Ovis aries: one gene and its partner. The protein of the gene in region 2 interacts with the protein of the main gene of each other region in a pairwise test. Links are inferred from orthologs where the notes say so. Each region holds a gene or a part of one and is shown on either strand. Other genes may lie near its edges. The genes, in order: PPCDC and FOXR1.

What was found.
Region 1: the proteins of FOXR1 (region 2) and PPCDC interact in binary tests that used the Homo sapiens proteins (3 or more experiments, as listed by UniProt). The two-hybrid records come from large-scale screens. The link is inferred for Ovis aries from reciprocal best matches to the Homo sapiens genes FOXR1 and PPCDC.

Annotation. Positions count from the first base shown.
Region 1 is NC_056071.1:31,351,657-31,355,568, forward strand, and holds the start of PPCDC (phosphopantothenoylcysteine decarboxylase), read right to left. Parts: upstream 2,796-3,912; 5' UTR 2,734-2,795; exon of another isoform or gene 2,642-2,733; intron 1-2,641. UniProt on the Homo sapiens protein: Catalyzes the decarboxylation of the cysteine moiety of 4-phosphopantothenoylcysteine to form 4'-phosphopantotheine and this reaction forms part of the biosynthesis of coenzyme A.
Region 2 is NC_056068.1:29,288,005-29,291,916, reverse strand, and holds the start of FOXR1 (forkhead box protein R1), read right to left. Parts: upstream 2,359-3,912; 5' UTR 2,229-2,358; coding exon 2,168-2,228; intron 1-2,167. UniProt on the Homo sapiens protein: Transcription factor which acts as both an activator and a repressor.

The DNA of each region.
Region 1 (3,912 bases), on a different chromosome or scaffold from region 2:
AATTGAGTCTACTCTAAGGCCTGGAGAGCTGTGTTGGCAGCTGACAAGGCTAGAGGGCCTATCAGCCAGCCTCTTCCCAGAACTAATCTGTGTGCTAATCAGCATCCAGGAGGCACATTCTCAACTCTCCAGAAAAACCCATCTGCCAAATCCCAAACCTTGACCCTTGACCCTAGCATACAACCAGGCCTAGGAAAAGAGAGATTCCTGCAAAATCAGAAACTGAATTTAAAATCTCCTCCTGGTGGCTCAACAGTAAAGAATCTGCCTGCAATACAGAAGATTGCCTGCAATGCAGGAAGCAGGTTCAATCCCTGGGTCAGGAAGACCACCTGGAGAAGGAAAATGGACAAAATCTCATGGACAGAGGAGCTTGGCAGGCTACAGTCCATGGGATTGCAAGAGTCGGACATGACTTAGCGACTAAACCACCAGCACCAGCACCACCACATCAAACTGATATAATTCCTAAGGAACAGGTTACTGAAAGCAACCAGTTAAATCTGGGGCAGGAATTCATGCTGGTGACTTCAACTGCTTCCCCACAGCAGGTGGTACAGCCCAAGATTTCCTATTAATACTTAGCCTGCTGAGCAATCTTTGTTAAGGACCAAACCCTAAATATCCTTCTAGAAAAGAAGAGGGAGGGGCGATATGTACTTTGGAGAGTAGATGATTTAACCAACATCTGAAAGCAAGGTCAAAATCAGCTCAAACTGCCAGTCCCATTGAGGGCAACAGTTGGCAGGAGTTCTCTATGTTTACTCTCAAAGCTATCTGTAGACAGCACCTCATCTTCCTGAGCTCTGCTGGACTCACAGGAACTCTTGAGCAGCAGAAACAGCTGGTAAGCAGAAAGGCCAAAGGGCTGAAAGCTGTGATTACTGAGCCTCAGGCTCCCGGGGTGCTAGCCATGCAGGCAGCAACATGCATGCAGCCACAGCCAGAAAAATGACAAGTTTCTCTGTCCTTTGAGAAAGACAAGGCCAGACAGATAAAGAGCCGCAACTTGTGGCAGCCTTGTGACGTGTAAGTCTCCTTTTCAAAGAGTTTAATTAGGGCAGAGTTAAGTAAGTTTCCGGAATGCTTGCCAATCACAATACGGGCAAGTGTGGAGCCAGGGCAGAACCAGGGCTTTAAAAAAAATCCAGATTGCGGTTTCAGGCCAGCCCAACCACAAACAGGAGCTGGGGCCCAGAAAAAAGAACTGAATTTGGGTGAGTGGGCAGGGAACCCAGGACTCTCTGGCCTGACATCAAAGTTCCTCACCCCTGGCCCCAAGATTATGCTCTTCACTTATCTCCCACCAGTCAATACAACTCTGCCCAAGTACCACCTGCAGCTCCTGGCAGTAGCACTCTTCCCCCAAACCCAGTCATTAAAAGCAGTGGCACAGCTGCAGGAGCACTTTAAATCCCTTCCTTCAAGGAAAGGCAAGGAACTCTTCAGGGAGAACTCAAGGTCTTGACATTCTGCTAAGACTGCTCTTCTCTCAAACCAGAAGCAGGCAGGCTTGATTCTGCAGCTCCTGGAACCCCGTTAGGCATCCTTCCTCAAGGCCACAAGTTGGGGACACGTTACATTCAGGCTTCCCAGGTGGTACTAGTGGTAAAGAACCCCCCTGCCCTTGCAGGAGACGTGAGACATGCAAGTTCAATTCCTGGGTGGGGCAGATCCCCTGGAGGAGGGCATGGCAACCTACTCCAGTATTCTTGCCTGGAGAATCCCATGGACAGAGAAGCCTGGTCCATAGGGTTGCACAGAGTCTAACAGGACTGAAGCAGCTTAGCACTCACACATTAATATTACATTCACACGCGGAGGCTACTAACAAGGGAGTGATTTGGGAACTGCTACCTCTCAGCCACTAGGAGAGATGAGGACAACTTCTGCTCCAAGGTACCCATCACTTCCCCAACTTGGGAATCTCTCCTGCCTATTACCTGGCACTGGCCTCCAATACTTCAAAGTGCAGCACTGAAGTTCTTCTCTGACAAAATTTGGCCTCACTCTCACTTTTTAACATCATTCAGCACTTTTAGAGTGCCAGAGGATAAGTGCAATATCCCAGGGCTTTCCTTTTTCTGTTGTATCAACTTGTAAAATGGTTTGTGCCTTGGGCCATCCCCTTTCCTTTTTGAAAGTAGGCTCGGGTTTTTTTTTTGTTTGTTTCTTTAAGGCAAGAGGTAAACGTAGGTAACCGATAGGGCTACCTTTTATAAAACTAGATTAAAGGGCCACCTTTTAAACTAAAGGGCCCTAGGCAACTGCAGAAGAGCATAACTCAAGGACGGGAGGGCACATACAGAAATGCACCACTTCATAGTATACCTGTAGCTGATTCATGCTGCTGTTTGGCAGAAACCAACACAATATCGTAAAGAAATTATCCTTCAATTAAAAATAAATTAATTTTAAAAAATAAATGCCCCACTTCAGGGTGGAGCTGGGAACAGGTCCATAGCGCTCCGGACCCATAGACTCCACAGCCCCTACACACACACTGCTACACACACACACACACACACACACACACACACACACACACACAGAAAACCGGAGATCGGCAGCAGACCCGCAGCGGCGAACAAAGATTCTTGGGCACCAATAGGAGAGGAAGGACACAAATGGACACACGCACCCACATACACGGAAACTGAGGTCACACAAAGAGGTCAAAGTCGCCAACGAAGCTTCCCCTGCCTCCTGCTTGCCCCACCACGAGACACCTGCCTCCTCGGTTCCCCCAGCCTCCTCACCCGCGCCAGGCGCGTCTCGGAGCAGCCCCAAATATCGCGGTATCCCGGTCGCCCCTCCCGCTGATTCTGCCTGGCATGCAACTTTACGGCTGCCGGAGGCTGCCTCCGCGACCGCGTAGCCTTCTGGGAGTTGTAGTCAACTTCTCAGCCTTCCAGGAACTGTAGTCCACTCGGGGAATCCCACCAAGAACACCGGTTCCCAAGTTCTTGGTATTTCCTGTGTTCATCTGGGCCTGCCAGTTGTCTGACCTCTTCATCCCCCCAGCCCCACCCACACTGCTTATCACTGCAGTACTTAATACTTTTACTGAGCCTATCTTCTATGTTTTTTGTTTTATTTATTCATTTATTTTTGGCTGTGCCAGGCCTTAACTGCTGCATGCGGAATCTTTTAGTTGCAGCATGGGGGATCTTTAGCTGCAGCAATGTGAACTCAACTCTTCCTCAGGAAACTCAGAACTCCTAACAGGCAGAAGGACTCTGTAGCAATTTCAAGGCTGCCTCAGAGAAAGAACTACACAGAAGTGTGTGACTTTTGAACTCTGGGAATGACAGGCTACAGGCCCATGGACCCACCCTACTTCCATGCCCCACAGCCCATGGCGAGGCTCCACACAGGCCCTCATGAAGACACACGACACAGCAGGACACAGAGGGCCAAATGTTCCCCTTTATTATGGTTCACTCAGTTTCCACAGACAGACACACTGGCTCAGGCAGCTCAACTGCCAGTTGGAGAATAGTCTGTGTTTCCCAGAAACAAGGAGGGGCAGAGGGCACCAGCAAAATGCAAAAGCAGGTCACTGGCCAAAGACCTGAGGATTCCCAGAACTAACCTCAGCCTTCCTGCACCCCACCCTCAAGCCAGACCATCCAGCAGAGATGAACCTGTGCCCAGCCCCCACTTCTGGTTCGGTTCCCTCCCCAGGAAAGTGCATAGATGCCTGGAGACGCAGCATCCCAGGGCCTGGACAAGCTGGGCCACACGCAGGTATAGCAGGTCTTCCGAAGGGCAGAGCCAGGGCGTGGCCATACAGGCCTGAGCCAGGAAAGAGCAAAGGCGGGTAGGACAGGAAGCTGACGGGAAGGAGCATCCAACAGGTCAAGGATGCTGTGCTGGCAGCGAGACCGCAGGCCTCCTGGAGTCACCAAA
Region 2 (3,912 bases):
TCATTCAGGATAAGCTGTGTAATTTGCAAGTGAAAATGAAGTCACTCAGTCATGTCTCATGACTCTTTGCAACCCCATGGACTGCAGCCTACCAGGCTCCTCCATCCATGGGATTTTCCAGGCAAGAATACTGGAATAGGGTGCCATTGCCTTCTCCAGGAGATCTTCACGACCCAGGGTTTGAACCCGGGTTTCCTACATTGTAGGTAGATGCTTTACCGTCTGAGCCACCAGGGAAGTCAAATGTGGGGTTCCTTGTTCAAAAATTATTAAAAATCTTGACAGTGATAGCAGGACATTAAACCCAGTATAAACACCCTGTGTAATGGCACAGGTCACTCACTATATTGGCAATCAGGTCACTCCACTGTTCTAAACCTTTCAACGGTACTAAATCTTACTGCTGCTACTGCTAAGTAGCTCCAGTTGTGTCCGACTCTGTGCGACCCTATAGACAGCAGCCCACCAGGCTCCCCTGTCCCTGGGATTCTCCAGGCAAGAACACTGGAGTGGGCTGCCATTTCGTTCTCCAAATCTTACTGAGTCAACCCTAAGGCCCTGAGAGGGGAAGAGGGCTCTTCCTGACCTCTGCTCTATGATCCACACCCTCTGAACTCTTCTCTTTATTTACTTTGATCCAGCCTCACTAGCCTCTTTACGAGTTCCTCAAACACTCCAGGCATATTTCTTTCTGAGGGCTTTCTACACGAGCTATTTCTTCTGCTTGAGAAACTTTTCCTGTAAGTATGGTCTAGCTCACCATCTCACCTCCTTCAGTTGTGCTCAAATATGTTCCTGGGACTACCCTGGTGGTCCAGTGGTGGTCCATTGGCTAACACTTGGTGCTCCCCACGCAAGCGACCCCAGTTCAATCCCTGGTCAGGGAACTATATCCCACATGCCACGACTAATATATATAATATATATACACACATACATACACACACACACGTGTGTGTGTGTGTGTATACATATTAATATAAACTGCCTGTGTGGTCCCAGTAGAATATCAGCTCCATAAAGAGTTGTCTCTTTTGCTCATGGTGTATCAAGAGTATCCAGAACAGTGCCTGGGGAAATTGGAGGTGCTCAATTAATATTTCTCTTTTTTTTGGCCATGCCTTGTGGCATGCAGGATCTTAGTAACCAGGGATTGAACCTGGGCCCCCTGAATTGTGGAATCTTAACCACTGGACCACCAGAGAAGTCACTTGATAAGTAAATATTTCTGGAATCAAGACACAGGAATGTTCAGCATTACTCATGGTGACAAGGAGTTCCAATGGAGTTTTGTCTCCTTCAGTAAGGAAAATTAAAATACAAAAAGATAATATATGCAGATGATAGAATATCACACAGCTATCAGAAATGATGAATCAGATCTTCATTTAGCAACCCCAAATTACTCTCAAAAACATTGTGAATGGGGGGAAGCAAAGAGTATTATTGTACAAGTAAGGTTACCTATAAAAGCAAAATAATGCTAAACAGTTTTCAAAGATACATTTATCTATAAAGACATTAAATGGATTGGGAGTGTGGGAAGTGAGGAAAGAGAGTGGGGACTGAAGGAAGAAAATGAGTTAATCCAACTACTTTGCCCAAACAGATGGCAATCATATATCAAGAATGTAGTAAGCAATTACCTCAACTCTCAGCACCTGAGAACCAAACTAAAAAAAATTTTTAAGACAACGGTCAACTATCCATACAGCAAATACTGAGCGGCTCTAGGTGTCAGACGATGTATTAAGAGGGGATACGGCCACAGACAAAATTGATTTTAAAAATCTTTTAAAAGAGAAAGATGATGGAAGATCAGTAGTGTGCCCAAAGGGCCTGGGCGCCACGGAGAAAAGGCTGAAAAGAGACCTAGAAAGTTTTGCGACGGCGCCCGTGAACGAGGATGGAAAAGCAGTGTTCAGGCAGGCCCCTGCCTCCCGTGGGCTTCCAGTCGAGGATGGGGCCCCCCTCGCCTCTTGGGAAAAGCAGGGGCCGGGTAGCGGCGCCGCAAAGGGGGCAAGGAGTCCAGAATCGCAACATCGTAACGGGGCTCGTGAGGGCGGGCGGGGCGGCGAGAGCCGGAGCCCCGGCCTGGCGCGCCCGCGAGCGCCCCCTCAGCCGTCGCGGCGCGCCCACGCCCCACGCCCCCGTCCAGGACACTCACGGTTCTGTTCGGCTAAGGGCAGGTGCGACGTGGCGAAGGCCAGAAAGGACTCGTTCCCCATGTCCCAGTCCAGCAACCCCGGGACCTGGCCGTGGAGGCTGGCCCAGAAGTCGACGCGCTGCAGTTTCAGGTCCACGGTTAGGGAGAGGAGGGCCAGCCAGCTCAGGGTGGGAGAGCCGGGAGAGACTGAGGCTGAGGCCTGGGAGGCACGGTCTTAAATCCCCTGGCGCTGATTGACTTGAGTGGAGCCCGCTCAGGTGGGCCTCATTTGGCACCCTCGCCCTCTCGGGCCTACACTGAGCGCCCCCCCCACCCCCTCGCCTTCTCCACAACCCCTCCCGCTTTCACTTTGGGGTTTGGGGACCTTGGGGATTCAGAAGGGAGGGATCCCAGGCTCTCTCTCCCCTCTACATTTACCCCAAGCTCTTTTTTTATTTGGTAAATCAGTCTACCAATCAAGAATGATCCTATGATGGTATTAGTAGCTACTTTCTAGAAGTTTGGAGGATTTCATGGTTTATCCAAGATCGCATCTGTAAGTGTAAAATGGAGATGGAATTAAATGGTGGTTTTTATTATTTTGTCATTTTTTTGGAATGGTTATTCTTAAATTTTGTTTTTCATACTTTCAAACTTACAGAAAAGTCCCAAGACTGCTATAAAAATTCCAGTATACCTAAGTCCTCTAACCAATTATACCAATTATTAACGTTTTATCACATTTTTGTTTTTCTCTCTGTGTAAGACATACATTATCTTTTTCTGAACTACTCAAGAGTAATTTGCTGTCATCATGCCCCTTTACCCATAAATACTTAAGTGTGTATTTCCTGAAAACCAAGCTATTGGTTTACATAACCAGAAAATCAGAAATAAGAAAATTAAAAAACTTAACAAGGATTCAATAAAAGTGAAAGTGGCTCAATCGTGTCTGATTCTCTTTTTGTTTGTTTTGTTTTGATAGGTAAGAAGTAGATTTATTCAAATTCAGAGAGAAGCACACAGAGTGTGGGCCATCGCAGAGAGCGAGTGCAGCTGTGTCTGACTCTCTGTGACCCAGGCCAGAATACTGGAGTGGGTAGCATTCTCTTCTCCGGGGGATCTTCCCAACCCAGGGATCGAACCCAGGTCTTCTGCACTGCAGGCAGATTCTTTACCAGCTGAGCTACCAAGGAAGCCCTTATGGGTTCAATACTGTATTTAAAATATAGATCCTATTCAAATTTCACCAGTTGCTCCAATAATGTGCTTTATATGACCTTGCTTTATTATCTAGAATCCAACTCAGGATCATGCAAGGCATTTAATTTTTATGTCTCTTTAGCCTCTAATCTGGAGCAATTTCTCAGACTTAAATCTTTCATAACATTGGCATTTTGAAGAGTACAGGCCATTTATTCTGCAGAATGTCTTTTAGTTTAGGTTCCTGTTTCCTCATAACTAGATTATGTAATTTTGGCAAGAATGTCAGAGAAGAGATGCTGTTTCCTTATTAGTACATCACACCAAGAGACCCGTGATGTCAGTTTGTCTCATTATTAGTGGTATCCATTATGTTTTTCAACTGTGAAAGTACCTTTTTTTTTTTCTTCTCTTTTGTAATTAGTAAGTAATTTGTGGGGAGTTATATTAAAGTGATCTAAAATCTTGTTTCTCATCAAGTTTGTACCCACTAATTCTAGTGTCCATTTATGATTCTTGCCTAAATCAATCATTACTATGATGGGTGTGAAATGCTGATTTTA